Linked DNA regions of Lonchura striata. The protein of the gene in region 1 interacts with the protein of each later gene in a biochemical or structural test. Links are inferred from orthologs where the notes say so. Each region holds a gene or a part of one and is shown on either strand. Other genes may lie near its edges.

Region 1 (9,738 bases):
AAAACAAGTTCTCAACTACAATACGTCTCCCCTTTCCTGGATTAAATATCAGATACATTATTGTCATCAAAACTCATCTTTTTTTAAGTCCACCATACCTGAATAACTTTGTCCACCTTCAGATCTTCTAGGGAAGGATAGAGAGACATTTTGATGAAGTCCTACTGGGCAGAGGGCAGACTAGAAAAAAATCAAATGGAAGAGCAAACAAACAACAGGATTAGCTTTCAGATAGTTACTGAGTTTAACCCCTTCAATTTTTTTATTTTAAATCAATTAACCAGACTAAGTGTTAAACAAGTATTCTGTGACCTGCCAGTCAGCAGTAAAGATATCTGGCACTACAGATGAATTCCATTAAGACTACCCATTTAATCTGTTATCAATAGCAGCCTTTGGCTAATAGGCTTTATTTAACATACTTAGCACTGTCAAAGTTTAGGTCTCAATGAAGAGAAAACTTACACAGAGAAAAACACTTCACAGGAAGTAAAGAAAGACTTTAGGAGGCCAAGATGCAATTAGGATAAGGGTTAAAAGGGAAAACCTAATCACTCTTGTCCCAACAGGGACAGTATTTTACATTCAACTGTGGAAGCTTCCACTCTATTGTCTAAAATATTTAAACACTTTCAATACTTCTAATATTCCACTGACCTGCTTTTGGCTGGGATAGAGCTAATGTTCTTCCTAATGCCATGTTTTGGATTTAGAATGAGAATATTAATAACACACTAATTGTTTTAGTATAAACTCCTTTTAGCAACAATTAAGTCAAGGGCTTTTCAGTTTCTCATGCCCTACCAGTGAGAAGGCTGGAGAGGCACAAAGAGCTGAGATGGGACACAGCCAGGAGAGCTGACCCAAACTGGCCAAAGGGATACCATGTGGCATCATGCTCAGTATATAAACTGGGGGGAAACCTGGCCAAAGGCACGGGCATTGGTCAGCATGTGGTGAACAGTGGCAATGTGCATCACTCATTTTATATGTACCAACTATTTAAATTCTTTTCTTCCTTTTCTGTCACATTAAACTATCTGATTACATCAACCCATGACTTCTCACTTTACTCTTCTGATTCTCTCCTCCCATCCTGCTAGGGCAGGGGGAATCAGCAAGCAATTTTGTGGTGCTCAGTTTTCAGCTGGAACTAAGTAATGACATCTGACAAGAAGCCACTAGAGAGACCTGGCTTCCCATCTCCATTTGCAACACATTAATTGCAACAAGAGACCTGTATAAACTAAGATGATTCAGTCAGTGGTGAGTTTCAAAACACAGAGATTCCAGGCTGGCTGTCATGTGATGTTCAGAGAGCCCCTGTGACAGCTTATCAGGAAGTAATAAAAAAAAAAAAAAAAAAAAAAAAAAAAAAAAAAAGGGAAAAAAAAACCCCAAACCCTAAGCAAAACCAAAAAAAAAAACACAAAAAAACAAAAAACAAAACAAACAAAACAAACAAACAAACAAACAAAAAAAAACACTTCACATGATATTCTAAGGCACCATGCCAACATCCAGCTCTCCTAGAACCAGTCACCTGAGACTTCTGGAAATCCCATTTTTCCAGAGCTCCTTAACTCACACTCTCACTGAGATCAGCTGAACTTTTGAAACCCACAAAAAAACATTCCACATCAGTATATGGGAACATTTTAGTGAGAGGGATGGAGAGGGACATAACCAGAAGACAATAAAATGTGATACAGTTTTTCAAGTCACAGAAGGTATTGAGAACATTGTTAATACATAAGTTTTATTAAAGTTTTTGGTTTGGGGATTCATTTTCTCATTGAAAGAAAAGAGGTTCTTCTTAAAGTAGCAATTTAGCAAAAATTTGAGACTGAAAGTGACCATCACATAAATCCCTGAGCTATTGCTTCTTTAAGTGCAGATACAAAGTCCATTTCTAAATGAACACCACACACAAAGATGCATAATGTGATACTGCAGTAACACAATAGATATCTCTTCATATTACACTAAATTCATTAACAGCTTTTATGTTTGTTCAGCAGTGCCCAATAGCTCCAGCATCATGTCAAACTGCAATTAAAACTTAAAAAAAGCATGCTCTAAATGTGCCAGAGATCTAAACTGTAAACACATGGTCTGTTATATTACAATAATTAATTGCCTTGACTTTTTTGATTAACTGTTGCAAGTCTACCAAGCATAGTTAAAGCCTGAAAACTATCAATTAAACACATGCATTTAAGGTCAGTTTGAAGTTCTGTTTTAATCCAGCATCGACCTGAAACTATGAAATGCTTTTGCTCATCCAGAATGGCTAATAGCAAACATAAGCCAAAGCTCTTGGTCAGGTAAGTGGTTCCTGGATCCTCCATTCTGCCACTCACACAAGTCAAGGTACACACAGCATCAAACTCGGCATCTCCTTCTGTGCTACAGCAGCCCTGGTAGATTCAGGTGCTGGTCCCAGCACTGGCACATGTTCAAAGTCAGCACAACCTTGGCAGCGGGCAGCAAAAGAGGGCAGGCCAAGGACAGTGTGTTCCCAAGGAGTCACCCCATGGCAGGGCGACGAGGGATGCAACAGCAGCACTTTGCAGGTGGTGATCCTAGTATCCACAGAGCTCCAGAGATCAGCACAGAGACTGCCAGGTCCCCTGCCCCAGTGACCAACTTCCATAGAGCACCCTGGCCAGCTTTATTTCTCCTCCACAGATCAGTCTCTGCAAACAGTAACTTGTCACAGACAGCGTCAGTCAACCTTCCACCAGTTTATAAAGAGGAGCACAGTGCTTTCTGTAGAAAAGCATTAGCAAAGCTAAACTTATACTACTGTTCAGATTACATTAGAGAACACTCCAGAAGTTTATCCTGCCCCTTGACAACCCCCTCAGCCTCCCCTCCCCAGCAAAGGGTTAACAAACCCAAGTGTTTGTCACCAAGGTTCTGCTGGGGTGGCTCCCCCATCATAAACTCACCAGTTCCTGGTTTTGGTTTTCCAACTAAATTAGCTAGAGTAGCAGTCACCACTGTAATTGCATTCAGTGAGCTCATAACTTTGCATATGGTAACACAGATACCCTATGTTAGATAGTGTGAGAGCCACAAAAATATTATATTTAGTTTAAAAAAGATTTCTAAGTAAAAATTGACACCATCAGGGACCACCCTTAATTGCAGGAAGAACTTGTCCACGACTTCTGTCCAGTGTTCTTCATAGTATAAACATGAATTTCAGCTGGTGCTGTAACGGCTTTAAGCATTAGGGAGTGGATACCACAAATCATGAGTCACTACAACCTCCTCTTCTCTCTTAAAAATCTACACCAACATCAGAATCACTTTCCCCAGTCATTTCCACACTTGCACATACTGTGAGGAGACCAAGCGTTTAGGGACGTAGAAATGAAAACAAAAGGATGGGCATGGGCTGTAACTCAGCTGGCGACCCACAAAACCTGGCAGTAAAGACCTCGCCCCCCTCTCCAGTACACTTGGCTGGAAAGTCGGGCCCTCCTGCCAGCACGTCCCACTAAGGAGATCCTGTTTGCCAGAGGGAAGTACCGGGGCACGGATCGGAGAAGCATGAAAGGCGTCACTCGTGACACCCTGAGCCTGCCAGCAGGAAGTCTCGAAGGTGGGAGTGATCCCGAACTGCTTTCGGTGGCCTTCCTGGGAGGAGACGGCTTCCCGACTCATTCTTCAGGTCGGAAAGTATGAACGCCAACACAGGATGGCCCTGCTAAACCCCAATCTGGCCAGCCTGTAGTGACTGCTGTTTTTTAAAATACCAGCAGCCAAAACTGTGGGAGGGGGCAAACAAACCAAAACAAAACCCCGCCACCCCCCCTCCCCGTATGTTTTCCTCCTGTAGCCCGTGGAAAAAGTACAGCAGGTAACAATGTTGGCAACTATAATGGAACATTGGTTCCCACTTCCAAAAATTAGAAGCTTATGAGCCCCGAAATTCATGTTTAAAGCAGACCGAGGACAACACTTCCCGAAGGTCAGTCAGGCTGAGACATCACGAACCGAGGAGCGGTTTCGTAAGACACGTTCTCCATTAGTAACTCAGCATTCGCCTTCTGATACATATCTAATTAGCCTGGGAGCAAGTGCCCTCATTATGCGCTCAGCTCCGAAACCTGCTGCCTCCATTTCAGCCCTGAAGCAGGGCTGGCCTGCCTGAGAAGGCCCGTGGTGTCACTGCACCGCCGCAGCACCTCTCGGCCCGTCAAAGAGAATTGAGACAAACGCCCGAGCCCGCGGGCGCTGCGGAGCCCCAGCGAGGGCCCAGAAGGCGCTCCAAAGGCGAGGGCCGCGCACGGACGGTCGCACAGGGCGGCCTCATCCCCCTGCTCTCCCCGTCCGGGGCCGGCAGCGCCCCGCGCCCGGCTGAAGCCTTGCCCCGGCCGGCTGCGGGGAGCGGCGGCCCCGCGGCTGGAGCGGCGCCCACACCGCCCTCGCAGCGGCACGGCCGGGCCGCCGGCGCCCCCTCCCCGCCCCGCCATGCCCGCCCGCGGAGCGCACAAAGGGCGGCGGGGAGCGGACCCGCCCGGCCCCTCGCTCACCTCCGGCCCAGCGGGTGCTGGCTGCCGTCCGCCGGGGCTCGCAGCACGGAGAGGGGCGCGGGGGCGGCTCCCCTGGATGCCGCAGCGGCTCCCCCGGATGCCGGCAGCGCCGCTGCGAAGGGAGCGGGGCGGCGCGGAACTGGCCCGGCCCCGCGCATGCCCGGGCGGCGGCGGGGAAGGGGTCGCGGCCGCCCGGGCCGGGTTTGGCTGCCCGCGGCTGCGGGGCGGCGGTGTCCCGCTCCCCTCTGGCCGCTTGTTTCACGAAGAATCTTGGAATCATCAAAGTTGGAAGGGGTCGCGGCCGCCCGGGCCGGGTTTGGCTGCCCGCGGCTGCGGGGCGGCGGTGCCCCGCTCCCCTCTGGCCGCTTGTTTCACGAAGAATCTTGGAATCATCAAAGTTGGAAGAGATCTTCAACATCATCCAGACCATCCGTCTACCTGGCACTATCGCTGTAACCAGTCGACCACATCACCCAGCGCCAGATCCAGACGCCTCTTAACCACCTCCAGGGATGCTGATTCCACCACCTCCCTGAACAACTTGTCAGGAAAACTAATCCACAAACATCAGAGCTTTATGTCCAAAAAGGAGACAGAGGAGTCCATTTACGTTATTCGAATAAAGGGAGAGGTCATGGGACATTCCCCAGGGGTATCTCAAATTTTTGGTTGATGCAGCCTCCTTTTTTATACTATTTTCCCGGCCACATTTCCCTTCTCTCTTTCCCCATTGGCTGAGGTACTTGAGAGGTACAGAGTTCCCGATACGCCTGATACCAAAGATTTCCCTCTAATGTATAACCCTCCCTTTTAATTTTTAATTCTTACGGGATTTAGGGGTTTTTCCCTTTGTTTCTTTCATTTTTCAATGTCTAATTTCATTTATCAGCAAACCTAGAGCTTATTGGTAAAAGCAAATATCCTTTTCCATTCATCAGTCAGTGGAATCCTTCCCATTGTTTTTTTTTTATCTCTCAGTGCTAGTTTTATCTACTAGCAGACCAACAGCTTGTTTGTAAAGACAAATCCACTATTCCTCTCAAACCCATTCCAGTGCCTGACCACTTGTACAGTGAAAAAAAAAAAAAAATATATATATATATATATAAGTGTCTGAGTCTTCCCTGTTTTAGTTTAAGGCCATTTGCTCTGGTCCCCTCACTGCAACGACAGCAGGAGAGATTGGCCTTCACTTCAGCGTAACTTCCAATCATGGAACTGTAGAGAGTGATCAATCTCCCCCTGAGATTTCTTTGTTTTTGTAGGGCCTTAGACTCATTTGTGTGCCTTTATTAGTTGATAGTTGCTGTCCTCATGGAGAAAAAGTATGATTTTCTGCTCATTTTCCTTTTTTTTTTTTCTGCTGTAATAAAGCACACTCCACTAACGGCCTCGTGTCTGCCTTGTTCTGCATGTCTGCCATGGATGGGCAAGCTGTGACACATCAGAGCCAGAGTGGACCACATCACCTGTCCCACGGTCCAGCACCTGCCTGAGCCTTCTCCCACGGGCAGGCATCAGAAGCAGAGCTTTTATCCTGGAGAGGCTTCCCTGCAGAAACCATGATGTAAAGTGTACCAGCAACAGAGAAATCCCAGAACAAGCTCGGAAAGAGGTTTTCATAAATCAATTACCATAATTACCTGCCTTTGCCTTATTTAGAGTATGAACTAATCTAGCATCAATTTTTGGTCTTCCCTTCTTCATTACAATTCTTTGCCTGTTGTCAAATATTGTTCATCACACAGACAATTAAATGTGCTGAGTGCCCTAGAGCTTCTCTTCACCTAGGAAGAGCATTCAGTAGAGGTATTGAGCAGTCTTCCAGCACCTAGGCAGGAGGTCTGCTCCCACCTACGGTTTCTTTCTCCTGCCCTCAGCCAGTTCCAGCAGTTGCTGAGCTCTTCTGAGAGAAAGCTTAACTCATTTCTCCACCAAAAAACATGGATGCTTTTCTGCTGGTTAGTGAGCCATACTGGCAATAAAAGGCTCTCTCAAGCACAAGCATGAGCCAGAGCAAGGGAGTGTGTGCTGGAAACAGGAGAAAGGAGGAAGCAGGAGAAATGGGAATGAGAGGGAAGGTTGTTTTGATCCACTCTGGCACTAACAGGCTTTTTCATCATTTGAGCACAATAATAGCCTTAGTTAAGCTAAACAGAAACTTTGTTACAATGTATATTTTTCTGTTGTTGTTGCAGTGTATTTTCCAGTTCTTGATTCTCTCCAGCTGCCAGCATCTTTGGTGAGCACCACAGGGGCTGGGGTAGTAACTGCAGCAGTGCTGAATACAGAGGAACAGCAACTCTCTGGCTGCTCAGGAGGCTCCTGTTTCTATATCCAATATTCAGCCAGACCTGGAACCTTCCTGAATGCCACTACCTGAACCATTGGCTGCTGAGTCATGCAGCTATGGGTCATTAAATATATGTGAAGTGAAATCTTAGGTTTAGGGTATAAGTTCACAAAAATCCTGTATTACAAGTCTTCTGGGCCAGGAGGAAGGGAGGGAATCTACCTCTAGTTTAATAATGACCAATGATTACGTCTTTAGAAGTGCTAAATTTTCTATGTAGCCAAAGGAGATTTTAACATAAGTGCAGTGAAAGTTTTAAAACTGTGCTCAAAGTGTTCCACTCTTCATCCTGAAATGAGGTCAGTGTAGTAAAGGCCTGGACCCACCCTGAAGAACAAAGACACTGTGGTATTCATGTAGCATGGAAATTGCAGGTGTGTGACTGACAGTTTTCCAGTGCAATCCTGCTGGGTGCCAGTGCTGACAACTGAAGGATAGTGTTTTCTTTTAGTTTGATGTTGAATGCTCCTCTCATTGCAAAGAGCTTTCTTCTCTCTAGAAAGCTAGGTTGTTATTTGCTGTTTTCTGCATTACTTTATCTCTTTGTGGTCTTTCAAGATAGCCTGCTGTAATCCAGGGCAGAGCTTTTTCCAGTGGGTATCTGACTTGCACTGTCAGTGCACCCTCCCTGATCTTACCCATGAGACTGTAATGGATGCTCATTTTCTTTATCATGATGTCCTAGCCCAAATAGTTGGTTCCATGTGGTTTATTACTTTTTGAGCATGCCATGTGTGCCCTATTGCAGGTATATAATCTAAGAGCAAACATGGTCCAAGTTATGGGCAGTAGCTCTGGCACCATGTCCACCTGCAGGACATCCACCTTGGTATCAAAAGTGAATCATCCTCATCTCCCAATGTATTGTGAAACATGATTTCAATAAAGATTTTGAAAAACTGCATAAGGCTGTTTCTTCTTGCTTAAGAACAGCTATTGGGAGAGAGAGTATACTTTTGTACTGAAAAGCTTTCTCAATTTCTCAAAAAAAACAAAGCTTTGTTCATTTAAATATAGGAACAAAACATAATAAACCAGAAAGATAATTGCTGAAAAATGGGTATGTCTAATCTATGCAGTTCAGCATGTCTCAGGGTCCTCATCCTTTAAACACACAGACCAAAGACAATTCCAGCCACTTGTCTAATCTCGTTTCTTTCCCAGGGAAACCAAATTTTGGAAGGGGGTGCCATGTGCCTCAGTCACTCTGTGACATGAACTGAGCACTTGGGGCAAGGGAGATACTTCTGTGTCCTGGAGTTTGGAGGGAAGCAGAAGAAGGGCCAGGCCATGTCTTTCTAAAAACTCCACTGATACTGGGGAGCTCTAAGGAGTCAGAGGAGAATTGCCCAAATAAATGGCTCTAGATTAGTTCCTGAGGTATGTGCATCTATTGTTTGAAAGAAGTGGAACAAATAGCCAAGTTATTAGACTTTGCTTGTTTAAATTAGAATACCTACGGGCAAGTGTGATAGTTTTCCATCATCAGTGTACTCTTTGTGGGTTTTTTGCTGGTCTAGTGCCAACTGTCAAAGAATAACAGAAACCACCCACTGATCAGTATCAGTCTTAGCTGTTGAAAAAATCTTAACAAAATTAATACATAATTATTACTGAAAAATTCACATTTCTCCTTTGAAGCTGAAAACAGGTTGTGCTTTTGTTTGTAAGGAAGGTCTCCACCCATTCCACAATTGGTCACTCAAAACATGTACAAATTGTGCAAGATAGCACCCTGTCAGCACTGGAAACAGAGTAATTGTATTAAGGTGGTTCCATACCTGGGGTACTTAACGGATCCTTCTCTAAGTAAGGTGAAAGGAGTGTCCAAACATGTTTGTATTTCTAGAACAAATTTACCACAAAGCAGCTTAATTAACTGTGGGGCTGCATTGCATCTGAGGTGTACCTCTAGACTTCATGTACCAGAATTTTTATACTTTCCATGTGAAAACAAAATTTTCAGCATGAAACCCAATTATGCAGAAGAGATTACATTACAGGAGTACAGTAATTTACATAATATTAGATACTGCTAGGTAACTTTTTTCCCCATTCCTTGTTCATATGTTTTTGATCTTGCCTTTTAAGGGCATTATAACATTACTTTCATATTATTATTTATTACTTGTAAGAGCATTATAATATAACACCCACAGGGTTGATGGCATTCAGTCAGTGATTTTCCACTGTTCAGTTGGCAGTTCATGCCCAATTTCCTGTCTACTATTCCAACTCCACTCTAAAGATGGAAATACTAATGTTGTCATCATCCTTTCTAAGTAATGCTCTAAGTGCTGTGCAAACAGTTGCTTATTTATTTTCTGTTGTAATTCCTGGGGTACAGACAAGGAATTCAGGCACTCAAAATGAATATGCTCATAGTGCATTATTCTGAGCTCTCAGTTCTACAAACTCATGTCTCATGTTTGTGATAATACAGGAGATATTTTGGTAAATCCCCACCTTCCTGACTTCAGTCATGATTGTGTGTGCCCAACACTTCTGTAGATTAGATCTAGAGCCTCCGGAGGGCAAATAGAAAATGAGAAACTGCTCTGGAACAAAACAGGAATTGCTTTGTGGAGAGTCTGGAGAGAGGAGTTATTTGTCACTGCAGGAGAGCTCTGGGGCAGAGGTGAGAGCAGCATCCAACTCCACAGCCTGACAGTCCAGGGTGTGAGCAGTAAGACGTCCCCCTGCTCTCCTCATTCACTAGACACCTTGTAGCCTTTGTGACAGATGAAGCAGAGGTCCTGCAGACAACAAGCTCCTTCATGCATGAGTGAGCCAGTCCTAGGAGACAGGAGACAGGAAAGAGGGCCAAGGAAGGGGTGG
Region 2 (9,738 bases), about 15 Mb from region 1:
CTCCCTACCACTACACTTGTCTATGAAAAATGAACAAAATAAAGTTTTGTCAGCTGCATGTTTCTGTTGTCAGCTGTTGCAGGCCATGCTCCGACTTTCTGCTGCATTCATATAAAGCCTTTCATTATAAACCCCATACAGTCCAGATGTGCAGCCCAGAGGTGCCACAGCAGACACAACAAGCACTGGCTGCTCAGCAATGCCCTTAGCTCCTGCTGCGCTGTTGATTCAGCTATCAGGGATGCCTGGTTTTGCGCAGACATGTTTTGAACTTCATATCTAACCCAAATAAACTATAGATACAATAAAAATTAAATAACCTGCATATGTCTATAATTCAGAAACTGTATAGCAAAAGAGGCCTCTGGATCAAAGAGAAGCAAGCATGTCCTAAGGTATATTGGGGGTGCTCAGAAGAATTCCCCTTTAGAACAAGAGCCTATTGAGGAAGGATGCATGTTCATGTAATTACACTGTTAAAAACTGATGCAGAAAAGAATCTTTCATGGATGTGTTACCAAAAATTGCTGGCACCTCTCCTGTGGTTCAATGACCCCATGAGTACCAGTCCCATTCTACCACATCCCTGAATTCAGATTATACTAAAGAAATGAACACAACTGCATTTTAAAATATTACATAGAAGAATATTACTTTAAAATATTTTTATAGAAGAGATGAGCAGTTCTGTTGTTCTTAAGTTAGAAGCATAAAATTTAGGAGTTTGGGGATGTGGTAATAAACCTCTTTAAACTGTCCTACCAACACATTTTACCAAGTTTTTTTCAGGTCATTGTCAGTGTGGCTTCAAACAGATTTAAGGTCAGCTGTATTTTTCCTTTTCTGTCTCTCTTTGAATAATTTGAGAAAATTTACCATCTCTTATGATCTTTGAATGTGATGCCAATGCTACCCTGTCTGGACACAAATACAACCAGTCAAATACAACAAATACAACAAATCAGCCATTTACATAACGAACAGCTCTGGTCAACACCACCTTGTCACCCACTGCAGTGTGAGGCCCAGGGCCGTGCTTTGGGTCAAACGTTCTCAACCACAACTTCTATTACCAAACAAATCTTAATGGAGAAATGGCATGATTAGGAACTCTCCTCCCCATGTAGATCTCTTTCCTTAGTGCTGCTGGTTGTGCAAGTCACCTGCAGGATTGGCCATGAAAAAATGAATGCTTGGGAAGCACTCAGAAAATTGTGATACACATTCATCCTCAATTGGTGCCTTGGCAGCCATAGGCTGAAAACTTATTCCCAAGATTTCCCAACTTACTTTTTGCACAGTTCCCATGTATTTCTAACTATGACTCTTCCCTACAATTCCAGTAACTCTCTCCTTGGGAGAGACTGAAAACTGTATTTTCAAATTTGTTGGACATCTGAGTCTTCTGTAGTTGATAGCCCCACAGCACACGCTATACATGAGATCTTCTTGCATCCTTTCACCATATAACATATTTTGGGGGAAAAAAATGGCCTTTGTTGAAGTTTGTCCCTTAATCTCACCTGAATCCCACTCCTGCCTGGTTTGACTCAATGTTGGTGTGGTGACTGGGTGGCTTGTGCCCTGCAGGGCTGGAGGGACCCAGGGTGACACAAAGGCAACACGGTGAACACTGCCTGACAGTCTGTGTAAGAAATGCCCAGGCCTGCAGCTACTTCTCCATGCGACCACATGTGGGCTCTTAATGCTGTATGGTGCTCTCAGATAGAAGACTCAGAAGAGTGGGGAGGGAGTAAGCAAAATACAGGACAATATTTTGTTATGTCTGTGAACTACAAGGGTTAATAGCTTACTATTTTTTAATTCTCATGCTCATTTCTATATTTTCAAATAATCTGTCTGGCTTCTGGTCTTTAGTTCTGCTCCTTCTAGCATTAATGTGTTGTGTCTATCTTCATATTTGGCATCAGACATCATCCCCACAGAGGCTTAAGGATCTGGAGGTTTTGCAGGTCGTAGCCCCAGCTCCTTCAAGAACACTGCCCATAAGTACACTGGTGGACCACGAGGAGCCCACTTGTTGCCATCATCTATGCCTAAGGAAGGCCTTCTCTTTGCTTGTTGCAGATGGTATTTCGATCTGTGATAGATTCTGCCAAGTATGTAAAACCCTGATAATCATGCATTTTTACATAGAAATAAAGCTGAGCTTGGTTTGTAAGTTAAAAGACATGCCTGTTAAAGAATGCTAAAAAAAATGTCCAAGAATGCTAAAATAAATACCCTCATGTAGTAAATCACCTGCCCTTTGGTGTCTGGTGACCCTTAGGATGCTTCCCATATGCAGTGTCTTTGTCTTCACATTTGCTCTTTTATGTTATTTGTTTCAAAAGTGATGTTGTTTTCCTACTGTTAAGGAATGCTTTTTCTGTTTCTTCTTTGCAAGCTGCAACCTCTTCATCTCTCCCCTCCCTGCACACTGGGCTGCCTGTAAGACCCCATGAGATCCTATGTGAGATTTTGCCCAAATGGAGTTTTGCTCACTTTGCTTCACTGTACTTCACTCACCCACATCTAACAATGCTCAAATTGTTGCTTAGTCGACTTGAAATCTGGCTGCCTACAAAGGAAGAGGATACACAGAATTAGGTCTTAAGTATTCGCAACATACTTTGAAGGAGAAAGATTATATTAAGCAATCTGTTTAATATAAGGAACACATTAAACAATCTGTGTGTGTGACGCCAACAAGGAAAAGACCACTGAAAATCTGGTAGGATTGCAGTGGGGAATGCAGCCTAAAAATCAATGACATGGCATGTCCAGAAGGTGGATCTAGAAGTAGCAAGTGTGGTAACTGCCGAGAGGTATCACGTTCCTGGGAGCGGGTCGCACACAGTAAAAGCAGTCCAGGCATGGCCAGCCCCTCTCTGAGGAGAAGGGTCCTGCTGTTTCCCAGCACAGACTCAGCCACTGCGCCCACACTGCACAGGGATCGCTAGGGTTGTGTTTGCCTGGGAGAGGCTGGGAAAGTGATGAGTGGGGTGAGACACTGCTTGTGCCAGATTATTTTATTTTCTTACGTGGCACGCCTATTTTGACAGGAAGGCAACCAGATTGGCAAAGGCCGGCAGTTGGGATCTCAACACAACCCGTTGGCCAAAGTTCTTCACAGAGCACAGGGTAAGCAAAGTGAAGGGCATGGAAAAACATCTTCCCGGGAAAAACATCTCCCCAGGGTTTCTCCCTGGGCTTTTGTTGCCCTCACCGGGACCCAGGTCCTCTGAGAGAGATGGATTTTGCTCAAACAAAAGAGACCATTATGGTCCTTGTGACCATTTGATTCAGGCTATAAAACACTGTTTGCTACCTTCTGACTTAAATCGCCAGTCGAGTTTGCAAGTGAGACTGATATATTTTGCTTTCCTGGTTATTGCTCCTTTCCCATGTCCAATGACTGATATCATGTGAGTACACGTTCAGTGGTGGAAACGTGCTGGCATATGCGAGGGGATCGGGCTGAGGCTCCTGAGCTCTGCAAAAGCACCATTCTCCCCAGTTGAGAAATACCATGGACTAGTTGTAGCAAGACTTCTTGTTTTGGCTTCTGGAGCACACATTCTTGGTGCTGTCAATTCTTGTAATATTTATTTTGAAGACATAGCTTCTGGATCCATGTAACTAGCTACAAATCGCAGCCCTTTCTGACTTCGCCGCCCCTCACCCTTAAAAGTTTCTAGTATTCTTGCTGGGGGCGGAAACGCTAAAAAAAAATGAAACCCGAGGCAAAAAGCTAAGGGATTCACAATGAGCTGGCATTTTCGGGATAGCCCCGCTTCCCGTGATTTTTGACCCCTCCATTTTGCTTTTTTCCTGACACTTGAAGCTGCCACCGAGGCTTCCCGAGGAGGGTGGCGCGGAGCAGCGGTGCGAACCCCGGCAGCACAGCGCTAAAAACACGCGGCCGGATTTCTCTTGCTTAGGGGGAGCCTTTCCACGTCCCCGATTTTATACGGGGCCAGCCTTCCCTTAGTCGGTCCAGTCGGTCCGCGGCGCTGCTCATGTTTTCCACTGGGGCGGGGGAAAAGAACGACAGAGGGGAGACGAGGGCGGAGGAGAGAGAGGAGGAGGAGGGAGGGGGGGGAAAGTTGCTTGAATTTGCGAGGGGCGAGAGCCGGCGGTGGCGGCGCGCTGCTTCTTTCCACTGGCTGGGGGAGCTGCCAATCTGTGTTGTAATCCTGCAGGAATTTCTGCGGGGTTTAACTGGGAGCCGCGGCGCCGCCGCCGCGCACTCGGGGCGGAGGGAGGGCGGCGGAGCCGGCAGCGCGCAGCCTGCAGCCCGCGCGCCCCAGCGCCGCGAGCACCGGGCCCGCCGGAGCGGAGCGCGGAGCCCCCGGCAGGAGCGCGGCGGGGACCCGGGGCGCCACCGGCCCTGCCCCGCGCCCCTCGGGCGCTGCCGAGCGCCGCCGGCCCCCGGTTTCTCCTTTGTGCCCGGCCCCCGGCGGCCGCCGCGCCGGCTCCGCGGGAATAATGCGGGGCGTGTGGCTGGCGCTCACCGTCAGCTTCGTGGCCTGCGCCTCCGGGCAGCCGGTGAGTGCCGGGGCAGAGGGGAGGGGACGGGACGGGACGAGGGCGGCCGCCTCGGCTGCGGCAGCCAAGCGCGGGGCGCGCAGCCCGAGGCTTGCCCCGTTGCATCGCCGTCCGCGGGGCGCTGGGCTGGCTCGGGGGGGCATCTGTTGCTAGTTGAGCGGTCTGCAAATGGCAGGCACCATTCCGTCCCACCCACCAAAAAAAGAATGAGAGACACCCCCTTCCCTCCTCCCAAAAAAGAAAAAACCCCAACCCCCCCCCCAAAAAAAAACCCAAGAAACAACAAAACCCAGAACACCCTCACGAAGCCGAGAGGACCACCCTGCCGCAGCGGAGCACCGTGCCGCCCTCCAGCGAACCTCGGCCGAAGTTTGCCGCGGTGACCCAGCCGCCAGCCGGCCCCGGAGCCCCCCCGGTGCCTCTCTCCCTGCCTCTCCGGAGGAGGGGCGGCCGCGGGGCCGCGGCGCGGGGCTGGGTCCGGCAGCGGGGACTTGAAGCCCGTCCCGCAGCAGCGCCGGGAGCCGCCGGGCCGCCCCGTGTCCGAGCGAGCGCCCGGGGACATCGCCGCCTCCCCGGCTTCGCGGGCCGTGCGGCGGGGGCGTCCCTTGCAAAATCCACTCCTCACGGCCCGTGGCTAAAAAGAGAAAAAAAGGCAGCAAACCCTGCTGCGCTGCTCAGGACCTCCCAGACCCCTCGGGCAGATCGCCTTGCGGGCTTCCCGGCCAGCCGCCGGTCCCGGCTCCGTGGAGCCCGAGCCTACTGCGCACCCGGCCGCCCTTCCCCGTGTAGCTCGCGAGCTGCTCGGGATAATGCTGCTGTTTACACTTTTTCCGTGCCACGAGTGTGTTCGCTAACCGGGCCCTGTGCTTAATGCAATTAGCTCTGTTGCTGGGATTTGTACCTCTGGGAAAGCCTCTCTCTGGCGAACCTCCCACCCTTTCGTGGCAGGAGCCGGCGAGGACCGGCCAGAGGGTTTTGGTCTTTTCCATCTGTGGATCTGAGCTTGTCTTGAGGGAAGGAGTATGCACAATGACAATAATGCAGTGTTTGGGCAAATATTAGGAAATTATAAACTGAGGTTTCAATATGAAATAAAAAGAAAGAAAAAGACAATTTAATCCAATTAAAATGAGCCGCTTCACTGAACTAAATAACGTCACTAGCTTGGGTTAACTTTTGAAGTTCTCTAGCTGTTGTATAAATTAGCCAAGTCACAGCCTTCATAAAATCTGGCTCACCATTAGGGATTTCTAAGGGTACAATGGCAAAACACTTTCTTAAAGACTGATTAAAAAAGGGTTGGGTAGAACACTGACCTTTGTTTCCGGTAAGTATAACTGTGCTGCAGAAACACCCTTGCCTAATGAGCTACAATATCCTTTAATTTTATAGAAATGCTGTTAGTACGAAGTTCTCTGACGGTGGAGTAGCTATTAAACTGCCACAGTAATTAGCAGAGTATTAAGTTTGATGGGTTTTTGCCTTAGGATGAACAGACTGTGGCAGTGTGAGGTGGGTTGTTGGGGCACATCCCCGTGCGGTGTGGTTCAGGGGGCAGTGGGGAGAGCGAGGTGGGGGGAACCTGCCTGGCTGTGCTGCAGCGTCCTTACTGCTGCCAGAAAGTTGTGGAGGGGCTGAAAAAGTAAAAGGAGGTTGGTCTTTTTCCTTTTCTTTCATCTCCCTTCTTTTTCCTTTAACTGCACCTGGCAGCAGCTTCATGGTCCCTTAAGATAGGATTTTGTAGACCAGTCTCTGGGAAAAGACAGTCTGTGTTCTCTGCAGAAGTCTGTCCTTGTCACAAGAGGAATTCTATATGGATGCTTTAAAAAACCCTCCCAGCTCTCCAGACCACTGTCAAATGGATTTAGCTCTAAATTTCTTCATGTTTTTAGATTCTACTATTTATTATCATTATTTAGACAAAACTATAAGGTAAAAATCTTGTTTCTGATGAAGTTAATTCCATGAGTCTTCTGAGCAGAGGAGCAGGAAGCTGCAGGAGATTTTGTTTCTTAAAGCAATGAATTCCCTGTGTTTGGTCCGCATCACCAACCAACACTTTTATTGGGGTGGGCCAAGGAGATGTTAGCACTGTGTTAAGAATGTCCTGGAAGTGAGACCTGCCGCCGAAGGACGACGGGAGTGGTTTGTCGGTGCTGGGTGCGTGCTCTGTGCGCTGTGTGGGCTGTCGTGCCGCAGCTGTGCTCTGCCGTGCCATGCCAGCTCCCTCGGGGAGCAGCTGCTTTGGGACAGGGCTGAGATGGAGAGCGAGAGAGGGAGCCCAACCTGCTAGTGCCAGCCTGCACATGGTGGCAAGTGTTACCGCACCAAAGCTGGTGGATTGCAGCTGGGGCTTGAGGAGTGGTTTGCTGCCATCAGCGCAGTGTGCAGTGAGATGTCAGATTACAGTGGGTTCTGTTAACCTATGTGGGTCCCAAAGGACATGGGGCATACACCCAGGCTTGGCTGAATGGCAAAAAATGTGTTTTCTAGCTACCTTGAAAGTTTCTTCGTTTGCTTATAAGAGAGGGAAAGACAGTGACATGAAACTGTTGGAAAGAAAAAGAAAACTGAGTGAGAGGCCTGATGCACCTTTTAAAAGGTTGAGCCCCTGAGCCCTGATGATATTGGGAGCCAGCTTTTGCTGATTTTAATAGCACCAGAGAGCAGTGCCAAGTATCCAGCTGTAGTTGTCAGGTCCCATTCAGAAGAGGCTGATAAATGTTTCCGTTTCGTTCTAGTTTGCAGCAGTGGGACGAATGGTTTTCCAGAGCTTGTGTGACAGTCAGATCCTCTCTGCATGCCCAAGTGCACATTGAGAAACTTTGCTGGCTAGCAGGTTGTGTTGCATACTGCAGTGTTACGGTGCTGCTCTTCTCACAGAAGGTTGAGTCCATCTCTCCCCGGGAAGCTTTTGGAGTCTGGAGACTGCTTCACATCATCCATACATGCATGTGGGGCTAGATTTGGGACTTTCAGTGAAACAGAGCATTGGGGCATCACCTGAGTGACCTTTCGGTTTCTTGTGTAAGCATATGACTGCTGAGTTGTTGGCATAAATATAATCATTGGAAGATGATCCAAGGGTGATACTTGGTATATTTTTCAGAAGTATATAGTATTTGAGAATCGTAATGCTGTAGTTTTCCTACCTTTGTTTCTAATGGTTACTTTGGTTTTGGAATTTGGAAAATTGATAGTGTGTTGGAGAGAAGGACTGTTTTTTTGAAAAAGGCAGTTATATTCAGAGGTAGTAAGTAGTGGAAAAAAAGGGCTGAAGAGATAGCTGGTATATGATAGATTTATATGCTGTATGTGTCTCTCCTATCTGTCTTAAATTTGCTTTGTCAAATAAGTTCCAGTGAAGGAAGGAAGTCTTTTCAGTCTTTATTTCTACCCACCTCCAATTCACATGTACCTTTTCTTCTCACTGTAGAATTAATAACTGTTCATCCATTGCTTTTTGTGGTTTGGTAATACCTGGAATCTGCTATGTCTGCTTCCCTTGCTCTGACTGAACTTCTGGGTTCTCCCTGCACTGCCATGCACTGGAAATTCTGGGATTTGCTACCAGTCTTGGGTGTTCTCAGGAGCCACTTTTTGGAAATCGGTTTCTGTCCCAGGTTAGATTATAATTTAAAAATTAAAGAACAGATGAATCTTGACCCCAGATCAAACACTGAAGTTCCTTCTTTTAATATCTTAGCCCTGAGGTTTGCATTAGAACTGATTTAGTATTGAGGCCTGAAGTGCAGAGATGTTTTCTCTGCATTTTTTCCTAGATCCTTATCAAGGAAGTATATGAGAGTATCATCTTCAGGAGCAAGTCAGGACAAATATCTTAGGATTTGAAGTTGGGTGCTGGTATTGTGGTTCTTGAGCAGATAACACCTCTGTGGAAGGTTTGAGGTAGTTACTATAGCTAATGGAATAAAGATGGTAGACTTCGGAGAGTGTGCATTAAGTTTGGAATTTGCTTGGAAATTGGATGGATCTAAGTTTCTGTAGTCCTAAATTAAGTGTAATTGCAGGATGACAAGATAAAGGACTAATTTTTTGACTAGTAGAGGTGCAGGTTATGAGAAGTCACATGTCAAACATGCAGCCATGATCTAATGCCTCTGGGAGGGTGGGGTGGATGATGGAGAGCTGCCTGCCATCCTTGGTGGGGAATGTGGCATTTTGGCAGTGCTTCTTGAGCTTGGAGAAGACCCTACTGAGGAGCCAGTCATTTGCAGAGTTCTCCATTGGCACTGCTCTTTGTGGCAACTTGTCTTTATAAAATGTCAAACATAGGCATGTGGATGGCATTTATTCATTACATTTTCTCACCAAATTGACTTTTGCCATTGAGCAATTTAAACATCTTGCTTATGGTAGAGAATTGCAGGCTTTAGTAAGGCTCAATGGCTGAACAAAGAGCTCTTGTCTAGTTATGAAGAAGTGCTCTTTTGTCTTATGAATAGATTTGACAGACTATGATTTTTAACATAAATGTTGTGTTTGAGATTGGCAAGCTTATTTGAGGCCTCGTGTAACACCCTATTTGAATCTGAATCATAAAGATGCCCTCTGTGCTGCTGCATTTGAGAGAGGATGCACAAGTCATGAGCAAGAGATTTGGTCCACATTCAAGTCACTTCGCCGTCGGTGCTGTAGGAAGCATGAGAAAATTACTGGAGGCTCTTCTGTGAACAGCTTGTTGTTTGGTTATCTTCAGTTCAAGCTTACAAGATGATAATAAATTGCTATCTATAATTTTTCAGGACTAGTAATTTATTCATAGATTATATGACACTCTTCAATGATTTGGGAACATTATTTCTCCTGCTCACATTGAAGTATAATTTGCAAGCTCTGGAGTACAGATTGCATTGGTGTTTGACCCTCTAATAATGACAGTTCTCTGTATGTATGTTGTTTTCTTGATTAGCTCAGCCCTGGGGGATGCTTTTAAAAGCATACTAGATATTTAGGCAGAAAAACAGAATTCATGTAATCCTCAGAAGTACTGGAATACTGATTGCACTGGGAGAAAATGTAGCATTTAACAGCCATTTGCAACAAGTGCATTTGCGCTGAGCAAATTATTTTTGTTGATGTCTCAAGCAGGAGTTTTATTTAAAGTGAAATAATGACTAATAGGGTGGTGATGAATCTGCAGAAATTGGCCTTGTCCGTAGATAG
Region 3 (9,738 bases), on another chromosome or scaffold:
CTCCAGTTCTCAAAGTCTCTGGAATGGGAAGAGAGCATTATCCTTATTTTCTAGATAAAGAAATTGGTTTATCAGCTTGCCCTCAGCAAGAAGCAGAGAGTGGAAGAAAACTTGGCTAGGATGCAAGTACCTCAAGTGAGGGCAGACATTTGAAACCGGCTGTCTCAAAATGTGCTCTCCTATTGTGAGGGGCTGGTAGTTTCAAGTCACAGCTGAGTTTCCAGCCTACATTCACCCAAAAGTCTCTTGCATTATCCATAATGAAGTGGGGGAGAAGACACGACTTTCAGAGCTTCCCCCCATTCTAAAACCTGCCAAGTATTCAAAGATGGAAAAAAAACATCATTAGAGCCCTTGTATTAAAAATTATTTATTTAGTGATCTGTACATGGGGTGAAGCAGGGCCTCATACAGACCTTCAAAAAAAATCAAGTAAAAACATAAATACATATTTTCTTACAAAAATGAGATTTACAAAATATACATACTGCACTTGTCTCACACACTTGTTTTTTGTTTTGTTTTTTTTTTTCTTCCACGTGCACATTAAAAAAGACAAACCAAGCCCTGCAAGTCTGACATCAGAGCTACTGAAGGATTTAGCTGATGGGCCCATTCCTCATGCTCAGACTACTGGTACACCCTCAGACAGCAGTAGTCTGCGCCCTCACCCTGGACAGGTTTTTTCTTTTTAAAGTTTAATTCTAGACACTTCCCCCCCAAAAAACATGAAGAGCAGCTATAGGGTGGAGACTTGCCAAAAATCCAGAATGTCCTATTTTGTCCTTAGGCAAGAATATACACACACACATATACTTATAAAAACAACCCTTCAGTGAATATAAAGGTAAAGTAGTATGCAAAAAATAAAATATGAACAAGTCAACATAAAAATTTTCAGAATAGAAAAATCTGCCACATTTCAAAAAGAAAACAATGCATTTGATGATAAAATTTTTGAATGCTTTTCCTTCAAAGACTGATCACTGGAAACTCAAACAGCTGTGTTTTAGCCAAAATGAGGAGGCTCCTCACTTGCAGTAACTACTTGGTTTTAAACCCCAACCCCAGCCCCCCACCTGCACCAAGAATCATTGCCATGCAGCTCAGGGAATATGAGGAGCAGGCAAAGGGTCCATCGTGAGCCAAAACGATTCCTCCTGTCCCCAGAATCCGGCTGCGTATTGATTTTTTTTCTGCAGTGAGCTCACTGCAAAGCAGGAGAGAAAGCAGGTTTATGGGAAGGAAAGAAAAAAATACTATCTTTACATTACGTATTTTAGTGGCTCTTGTTTTGGCAGGTGCTCTCAGGTAAGCTCTTCTTGCCCTCTAAATCTTGCATTTCCTTCAGCTTAGAAAAGTGACCCATATTGAACGGTAGGAAAACATCCTGCCTCCTCCTTTTTTCATAAAAGGAATGTTTATTTCTGTGAGCTTCTCACATCCAAGGGTGAACCTCAACGACTTCTTTTTGTTAGTTTGCCCATAAAAACCGATCCCATGCTTATGCCTTTCTACATAGAAAACACTTTTGTTTCCCCCTTTGTCTCCTAGAACAAAGGCAAGGGGGAAAAGCCTTCTGCTGAAAAGCAACAAGTCATTTCTTTTCAGGGTGTGGAATAGCAACCCCCTCCTTCCCCACAGCAGCAAGAACAACAGACTGAGAGCCAATTTTTTTACTTAAAAACAATTACAACAATTAGAGGTATCGCTGAGGTAAAAAGGAACTTGTGAGCTGATAGAACAGAGGCATCTCCCCAGCACACGATCGGGCTGTAGCCGGCTGTGCGGTACTCACGTGATGGCTCTGCCGAGCTGGAAGGAGCAGGCAGCCAGCTCAGGCTCGGGAGTTAGCCTGCCCATGCTGCAGTTTGGCCCCGGCAATTCAAAGAGCTTTTGGCTACTTCTTGGCAGGGGTGGCTCAACAGATCTGGCTTCCCCTCTCTCTTGTCCAAAGGAAGGCAGGATGATTTTAGTTGGGTTGGAATTTCTCTTCCTCGAGGAGCAGCAGGAGAGAAGTAAGGAGACTTCTGCGTGAAGGACTCCTGTCCCAGCAGTTGCCTCTTTTTCTGTCCTCTCCCACTTAGCTGCTCATAAGCACCACTGGACGTGGTTTGACTGATCCTTTATGGTATGATTTTTTTTTTTTTCAAATTTTCTGTGAGGAAGAAAAAGTTTGGAAAAGCCTCCCTTCCTCCCTCTTCAGGGAACCATTGCCCTCCCATGCTGAGTATCCGTCTCCTCTGCGTGTATGCTTGTGTGAGAGTGTGTGTGCCAGAGGGGACAGGGGGGGTCTCATACCGCCGTCTCGCCTTTGCTGCCGGTACTGAGTCTGTGGTAGAAGCGTCGCCAGGACTGAAGGGTTTTGCCAGACCAAATCCAGAAGCCAGTCGTGATCCCAACAATCATGGTCATGAGGTACTTGATCATGAAGACAGTGAAGTCTGGGCTCATAGGGGCAAAGTGGCTGGGACAGGGCACAGCATACGTTTTGCAGGTCTGGAGGAGCCATGTCTTCTCCCAGGTGCCACGGAAGGCCTGCTCGTAGAAGTAACACGCCAAGACAATGGTGGCAGGCACTGTGTAAAGGACGCTGAAGACACCAATGCGCACCATCAGCTTCTCCAGTTTCTCCGTCTTGGTGCCATCATGCTTCATGATGGTGCGGATGCGAAACAAGGACACAAAGCCAGCCAGCAAGAAGGAAGTACCAATGAAGAGATACACAAACAACGGTGCCAGCACAAAGCCCCTCAGCGAGTCCACACTATAGATACCTACATAACAAACCCCACTGAGTACATCCCCATCCACCTGCCCCATGGCTAAGATGGTGATGGTTTTGACAGCAGGCACAGCCCAGGCAGCCAGATGAAAATACTGGGAGTTGGCCTCAATGGCCTCATGACCCCACTTCATGCCAGCAGCCAGGAACCAGGTGAGGGACAGGATGACCCACCAGATGGAGCTGGCCATACCGAAGAAGTAAAGGATCATGAAGAGGATGGTGCAGCCTTCTTTCTTGGTGCCTTGGGCCACAGTGCGGTAACCATCCTCAGAGAAGCGCTCTAGACACACGACCCGCTCCTCCAGCAAAAAACCTGCTGCGTAGGCCACGGCGACCATGAAGTAGCAGCCCGAGAGGAAGATGATGGGCCTCTCCGGGTAGCTGAAACGACGCATGTCTACCAGGTAGGTAAGTACGGTGAAGAGGGTGGAGGCACAGCAAAGCACAGACCACACGCCCACCCACAGCCGGGCAAATCGCACTTCTGCCTCCTTGAAGTACATGAGCCCATTGGGCCGGGCTGGCTCACAGGGGGCTCCACAGTCTCGCTCCCCCAGGAACCGGTAGCCCAAGTAAGAGGGCACTTTGAGCTGCCGCGGACAAGAGAAGGAGAAGCCAGAGGGTGGCTGCGGTGGGGTAAGAAAGTCAGGGAGGTAGCCAGCTGTGGGGTGGGCAGTGACCCCCCGACCCGCCGCACCACCAGGTCCTGGTGGGGCATCCGACGTGTTCTGCCCCACGCAGATCTCACCCGCACCGTGAACAGGGAAGTTCTCGCAGCGAAGCCGCTCTGGCCACTGGAAGCCGAACTTGTTCATGAGGGCCTCGCAGCCCTGACGGGCCCGCTCGCAGAGGGAGCGGCAGGGTGGGATGGCCTGCTCCAGCACGGTGCAGACCGGCGCGTACATGGAGCAGAGGAAGAACTTCAGCTCGGGCGAGCACTGCACCTTGACCAGCGGGTAGAACTGGTGCACCTCCAGCCCTGCGTCCTCCTGGTTGGTGTGGCCCAGCAGGTTGGGCAGGATGGTCTGGTTGTAGGCGATATCCGTGCAGAGAGGGATGGAGATGGGCTGGCAGAAACCGTGGTCCGGCACTGAGATGCCCTTCTCGCCGTGGTACTGCTGTGCCGTGGCACCCGCGGGGGTCCCCAGCAGGGCAGCCAGCAGCGCGGCCAGCCCCAGCAAGGGGCAGCCGGCGGCAGCCGCTCCGCCGCATTCTCCTCCAGCCTGCATTGCTGGAACGCGGCTCCGCGCCGGACCTCCACGACTTTTTTCCTCGGCTCCGACGCGGCGGCGCTCACAGAGCGGTAGCGGCGCTACTCTAGGCGAAAGTTTCCGGAGCTGCTCTCCCCGGAGAAGGCAGCAGCGGCGGCGGCGGTAGCAGCGAAACAGGAGACGCGCGTGTAGCCCAGCGACGCTCTGGCCAGCTCCGCGCAGGGTCCCGTGGCGGCGGCGAGGCGGAGGCACTGCTCCCTGCGCGAGTACACGGTCCCGGGGATTTAGGTTACGGCTAAATGGATTATTACCGCGCCCGGCTGAGCCGTATATTTTACTTCAGGGCTTAAATAACTTTCAAAATCCAATTACTGCGCGATCCTCCCCGCGGCTCGGTTGGGCTCCGCTCCCGATGGACACCGCTGCGGGCTGTGCGTCCGAGGTAACCGCGCGCCTCCCGGTTCAGCTCGTTCCGTTTCGCTCCGCCCGCGGCCCCGCCGCCACCGCCCGCTCCGCGGCTCCGGGCCCGCGGCCGCGCCGGCACACAAAAAAGGCGCAGCTCCGCGCGGGCCCCGCCCCCGCCGCCGGCCCCATTCACAAACCGCGCCGGGGGCGGGGCCCGCGGCGCCCGCCCGCCAATCCGCGCGTGGGGGCGGGCCCGCGCTGGGGGAGGGGAGGGGAGGGGAGGAGCTCCCGCCAGGGGGAAAAAAAGTTGGGAACAACTTTTTCCCATCCCCGCCGGGCCGGGCCGGGAGGAGCCGCCCGCGGTCCCCACCCCCCGCGCTGCCCGGCACAGCCGGGAAGGCGGGGGTTTGGGGGGGCAGCTCGCTCAGGGTGGCCCGAGCAAGCTAAAATTAACTGGCTGCTTTCTGAGCAGGCTTTGAAAATGCCAACAGCTGCCTGTGCCCGGAGTTATTAAAAAGGAAGGAAAAAAAAATATAGAGTAAGGGAAAAAACCTCCAAACGCAGCGCCCGAGTACATTTGCAGAACGATCCTATTGCGTAGTTGAGATGTTCGTGTCTGTGTGCCATCTCCTCTCCAGCGTGGGGGGTTCGATTTGTTATCGCAGCATGACCGTTGCTTTTTGCTGGCAGAATAAACGCTTTATTCATGCAGATCTAAGCCCTAGCTGGGGGAAGGCAGCTTTTTTTGAAACGTCCAGTGTTACCTAAGCAAAGAGGAGAAATTTCAAATCCCCATTTGAACTGCTGCGATTCCTTAAGAGACTCAATTAAACAGTGAAAAAACAGGAGTTCCTCTGTGAAAGTACCCTGCCTGCAGGAGAGAAAATGGCATAGGTGGGGAGACCCCTGTTACTGGCCTGCTAGGCTAAGCGGATTCAAGAAATAGACACCAGCATGCATTTGGTAAGGACAGGAATGTGGGGTTTGCAGCATAGCTGTGTTTTGGGGTGCACTGCCAAAGCAGAGAGCTGGGACCATCCAGCCTCTGTGCAAGCAGAGCATGTCTTTGGCAGCACAGAAGGGCTGTGCTTGATAAAAGCTCTGCAGCAAGGCCTGCTTCTGCTTCACTGACCCATGAGAGTTTGTGCTCTCCGATAGGCTCCAAACAAGTATTACTCAACTTACCCCATCATTCCCTTTGAGGACAAAGGTCCTCCTAAATACAGTACTCAAATTCTTACTTTTACTCCTTAGCTCAGGACTGTGCTTCTGTAGCAGCTAAGGAAAGACACCAATCCATACCATCCTCCAGGGCAGTTAAAGAGAGCAGGGTTTGGCTCAGGGAGCTCCAACTGCAATTGTTGGACAAATGTTTTCCATATCCTCTACTGTTCAGGAACAATGTGTCCTCATGCCAGTAAGACCATGGTGCTGCAGCTTTTGTTACATTTCTTAAGAGAATTTGACAGTTATAAACAGGCTTGCTAAAATAAACATACTCCTCTTAATGGAGATATTTTTAAAGATAATACTGTGCATATAAAAAAATACATATGGGAAGGACTAACTAGTCATGGCTGCAACAGTTTCTTCTGGAAAAGAAATGTCTTCTACTTTCTCAGTTATAGCTGTTTAAGAGTGCCTTAGAGGACCTTCACTTTTTCAAAATTTTAAGGCTTTTTGTCAAAATTCCTTGCTTTTCTACCCAAATTGACTAAGAAGATTTTTGTTATACTCTTCACCTAAATAACCACACATGGGATATATTTACATGAATTTGTCTACTCTGTTGTTTGATTTTTGGCCACTGGTAGCTTTCAATAAAATTATTCTTTCCACAGTTTTTTTGGAGGTTTTTGTGGGTTAGAGTTCCTCCTTATCCCTTCTACCCCCCAATCTGTAATAATCACCTTACAGCCTCTCTTTTTCCCTTTGGCTTATATGACTGTCTTCATCTGCAAAACACTTTGTGATATTCTCTGTGAAAAACATTGGATGATATGTTTCACTGGCAGGGAATGACAATGCAGAGAAGATAAAAAACCATCAAACTTTCTGCCCCATGGATTCCTCATTCTGATTTCTGTATGTAAAGAAACAAGTTCAGAGCTAGTAAATTCTATTGCAAGAAACTCCCTCTCAGTAATGGGGATACAGTGACAAGAACTATTCAGAGTAAGGTCAGTCAAATCAAAGGCAAGGCTTTAACTGGACTTTTGTTTACAAGACAGGGCAAACAGCATCAGTGGCTCCCCCAGTTTTCTACTGGTCCCATTTGTTAAAGTCATTCATCCAAACCATGGAATGAACAAAAAGATAACTGGGATCTCTGATACATGCTGTGAAAATGTAGAATGTAGAATCAAAAGTGAAGCAAAAGGGGAAAAAAGTGAAAAGGTAGGCCAAAAGGAAGAAGGATTATGTCCTAGATTATTTCTTAGGGAGAGAAGAAAGTAAATTTATCAGATAGGATGATGCTGCTAGGTCATCCCAGATGTCAGGAATATGCAACATTCAGGAATGTGCAACAGGATTTACTAAGATGGATGAAGTCTCTTGGATATGTTACCAAATTCCATGATCTTTTTTCTGTTTAGACCCATGGGGAAATGGGAAACAATCACAGAGAGAGGCAATGGCAGTTGCCTCAAAATGGCACATTGTGTATAAGAAAACCCCAGACTCTTATATCAGTCTAAAGCATCCTGACAGCTTTCAGAGGACAATAAAGAGAAGGGAGAGAAGGAAAGGAAAGGAAAGGAAAGGAAAGGAAAGGAAAGGAAAGGAAAGGAAAGGAAAGGAAAGGAAAGGAAAGGAAAGGAAAGGAAAGGAAAGGAAAGGAAAGGAAAGGAAAGGAAAGGAAAGGAAAGGAAAGGAAAGGAAAGGAAAGGAAAGGAAAGGAAAGGAAAGGAAAGGAAAGGAAAGGAAAGGAAAGGAAAGGGCAAAATTCATGATTCTGGAACACAGGTTAGTCCAAAAAATCCAGAAACTCTCTAAGTACCATCAGCTACAGTTCAAACGGCAGCCTGCAAAATGACTTAAATTTCCTCACAACAGGAGGAATCCTCATCAGCACAGTAAGCACAGCAGACAGGTTATCAGTCACCCAGAACAAACACACTGCACAAGACTTTGTAGCATCTGACAAGTTGTCTATTGCAACCACAGAGGGTTCAAAAAGTTTTCTCTAAAAATCTTCTAACTGCTAATGGTCTAAATACACTTAGACCATGGTCTGCCAGCAGTAAAGCTTCACAAGCAAAATCCTGCCTAGTCCTAGATTCCAGAATAAATTTAGTCTCCAGTGTTGATACCAGCTCTGGAGCTGTCTGACTAGACTGTGTATAGGGAGGAATTGTTAGGAACAAAAAATTATCTGTCTTTTTACTCATTTAAAAATAAATCCACTTCAACTTCCAAGCTAAGTCAAAGTGAGGAGTGGCATCCCTACATTATGTCTTTTCCTGCCCTTTTAAAGTTTTCTGAGATGGTGCCAATATAATTTTCCTTGTTTCCTATCCCATCTGATAGAAAACTCTTCTCATGGGGGGGAGGGAAATCAAAATAAAACACCTCCTCCTGGCCCCACCACTTATTTTGTGTGCCTAAGGGAGAACATTTTCAGGCTACCTGTTGCAAGGCTTTGAGTCCTCTCTGCCCTCAGAAGAACAAAGGCCATTGCTTCCCCCCTGTCCTTTCCACCCACAGAAACTTGCTGGACCGCACCTCAGTTGACCTCCTGCTAACCAGCACTGCCAAAGTCCCGGTGCCACCATCTGAGCTGTGAGATTTTCCCAGTTACTTTTAGTAAATAACTTTTATGACACTTTTAACCTCTACATTTTGAAGCATGCTTATATACAATCTTACATGATCAGACAGGCTATTGAGCTAAGAACATCAAAATTTGCACTCCCTAAAGCTTAGTGGAGAAGTGCCTGGAGCCTGGGGGAAAATTATGCATTTGTCTATTTTACATAATTATTTGCATAATTAGAAATAAAATAAGTTCACAGTAGTATATCTGCTTGCATTTCTTTCAGTCTGATAGATTAGTCTAAATTGCATCTTGTCGGAGCTCATCAAAGAAATCCAGTCTTTCCGTAGTGAAACGGGAGAGCCTCGTATTTCATGGGCAGGGAGTGAGAAAAGCAAAACCCTGCCCTCCACCACGGAACCTTTAATTTGAAATTAGATGGCAGACATAAGAAACTGATTGAAAAGAGCATATGGGGAGGGCACAGGTGACAAAAGGAAGGGGATGCTGCTGGAGGGGATGTGGCTTCCCACAGCGAGAAAGGTAAAAGCCATTTGCATCACGGATTTATAAAATAATTATTAGTTTATGAAATAGTATCCCAAAGGATACAGGGAAGTAGCACTGTCTTCCACATTTATGGTCACACGGGGGGTGGGGGGGGGGGAACTTTAGGAAGCATTCACCAGGATGAGCTATCAGGCTGATGATTGCCTTTATCTCTACGATCCATGAATAAGAAAACAAAACCTGATCTGTTCATTCCCCCGCTCAGCAGTTCTTGAGGACATCAGTTACATTTTAACCCTTTCATGATACTGTGAAATCCCTTGTTTTTTAAACTGAATTTAATCTGCTTTCTCAGAGGTTTAAGAAGGCCTTTGGTTCCTATAGAACCCATGGAATCCCTCCCTGTGTCAGTTTCTTAGGCTAGGTACCTTTTTAACAAGACAAATTCTCTACTGACAGCACTACTACCAACCAGGCCCTGTCACCATCATGTCTGGGTGCAGTATACTGAAATATGAAGAAAGGAAGATTCCAGAAACAGTTGGAAAAGATGACATTTGTGTCTACTTACTTTGCTTATCCTGTAAATCTTAAATGGTGTTTCTGACCTAGAATGTTGGCTAGGCACTTTCTAGGCTGCTGTAGCTGATTTTGGCCAATTCTTTATACACTGGGATATGTGATATATCAGCCTGGGCAACACCAGGAGAAAAACTGCTTGGGATGGACCTCCCCAGGCTCCCTGGGCTTGACCACCTTTTCTTGGTTTTTGCAGGAGTCCCAGTCTCATGGATGCTCCAGCTTATCCTAAGATTCTCTCAGTGTCTGTGAAAATTATTCACAGATATGCAAAGGTCTCTAGCAGAGTCACTCCTTGCTTTATAATTCTAAAACTATTAGAGATACAAGCAAAAATAAATATAGCCTTACCTACCTGCTCTCATAACCAGGCAATGTTTTTTAGGAAACTAATTAATGTCTTTGTGGTTGAAAGTCCCCTTCCCAGAACTATATTCTCTCAGACCTCTTGTCCATGGTATCATGGATCCTTGACCTAGTCTGGATAG

What was found.
Region 2: the proteins of SDCBP (region 1) and SDC2 form a complex in vitro, tested with the Homo sapiens proteins (3 studies listed by BioGRID and IntAct, with this or other methods). The link is inferred for Lonchura striata from reciprocal best matches to the Homo sapiens genes SDCBP and SDC2.
Region 3: the proteins of SDCBP (region 1) and FZD7 interact in a biophysical measurement, tested with the Homo sapiens proteins (2 studies listed by IntAct, with this or other methods). The link is inferred for Lonchura striata from reciprocal best matches to the Homo sapiens genes SDCBP and FZD7.

The regions. Positions count from the first base shown.
Region 1 is NC_134603.1:38,159,179-38,168,916, forward strand, and holds the start of SDCBP (syntenin-1), read right to left. Parts: upstream 4,704-9,738; 5' UTR 4,548-4,703; intron 181-4,547; 5' UTR 150-180; coding exon 99-149; intron 1-98. UniProt on the Homo sapiens protein: Multifunctional adapter protein involved in diverse array of functions including trafficking of transmembrane proteins, neuro and immunomodulation, exosome biogenesis, and tumorigenesis.
Region 2 is NC_134603.1:23,337,468-23,347,205, reverse strand, and holds the start of SDC2 (syndecan-2), read left to right. Parts: upstream 1-4,380; 5' UTR 4,381-4,491; coding exon 4,492-4,551; intron 4,552-9,738. UniProt on the Homo sapiens protein: Cell surface proteoglycan which regulates dendritic arbor morphogenesis.
Region 3 is NC_134610.1:26,829,481-26,839,218, forward strand, and holds FZD7 (frizzled-7), read right to left. Parts: upstream 4,266-9,738; 5' UTR 4,018-4,265; coding exon 2,296-4,017; 3' UTR 355-2,295; downstream 1-354. UniProt on the Homo sapiens protein: Receptor for Wnt proteins.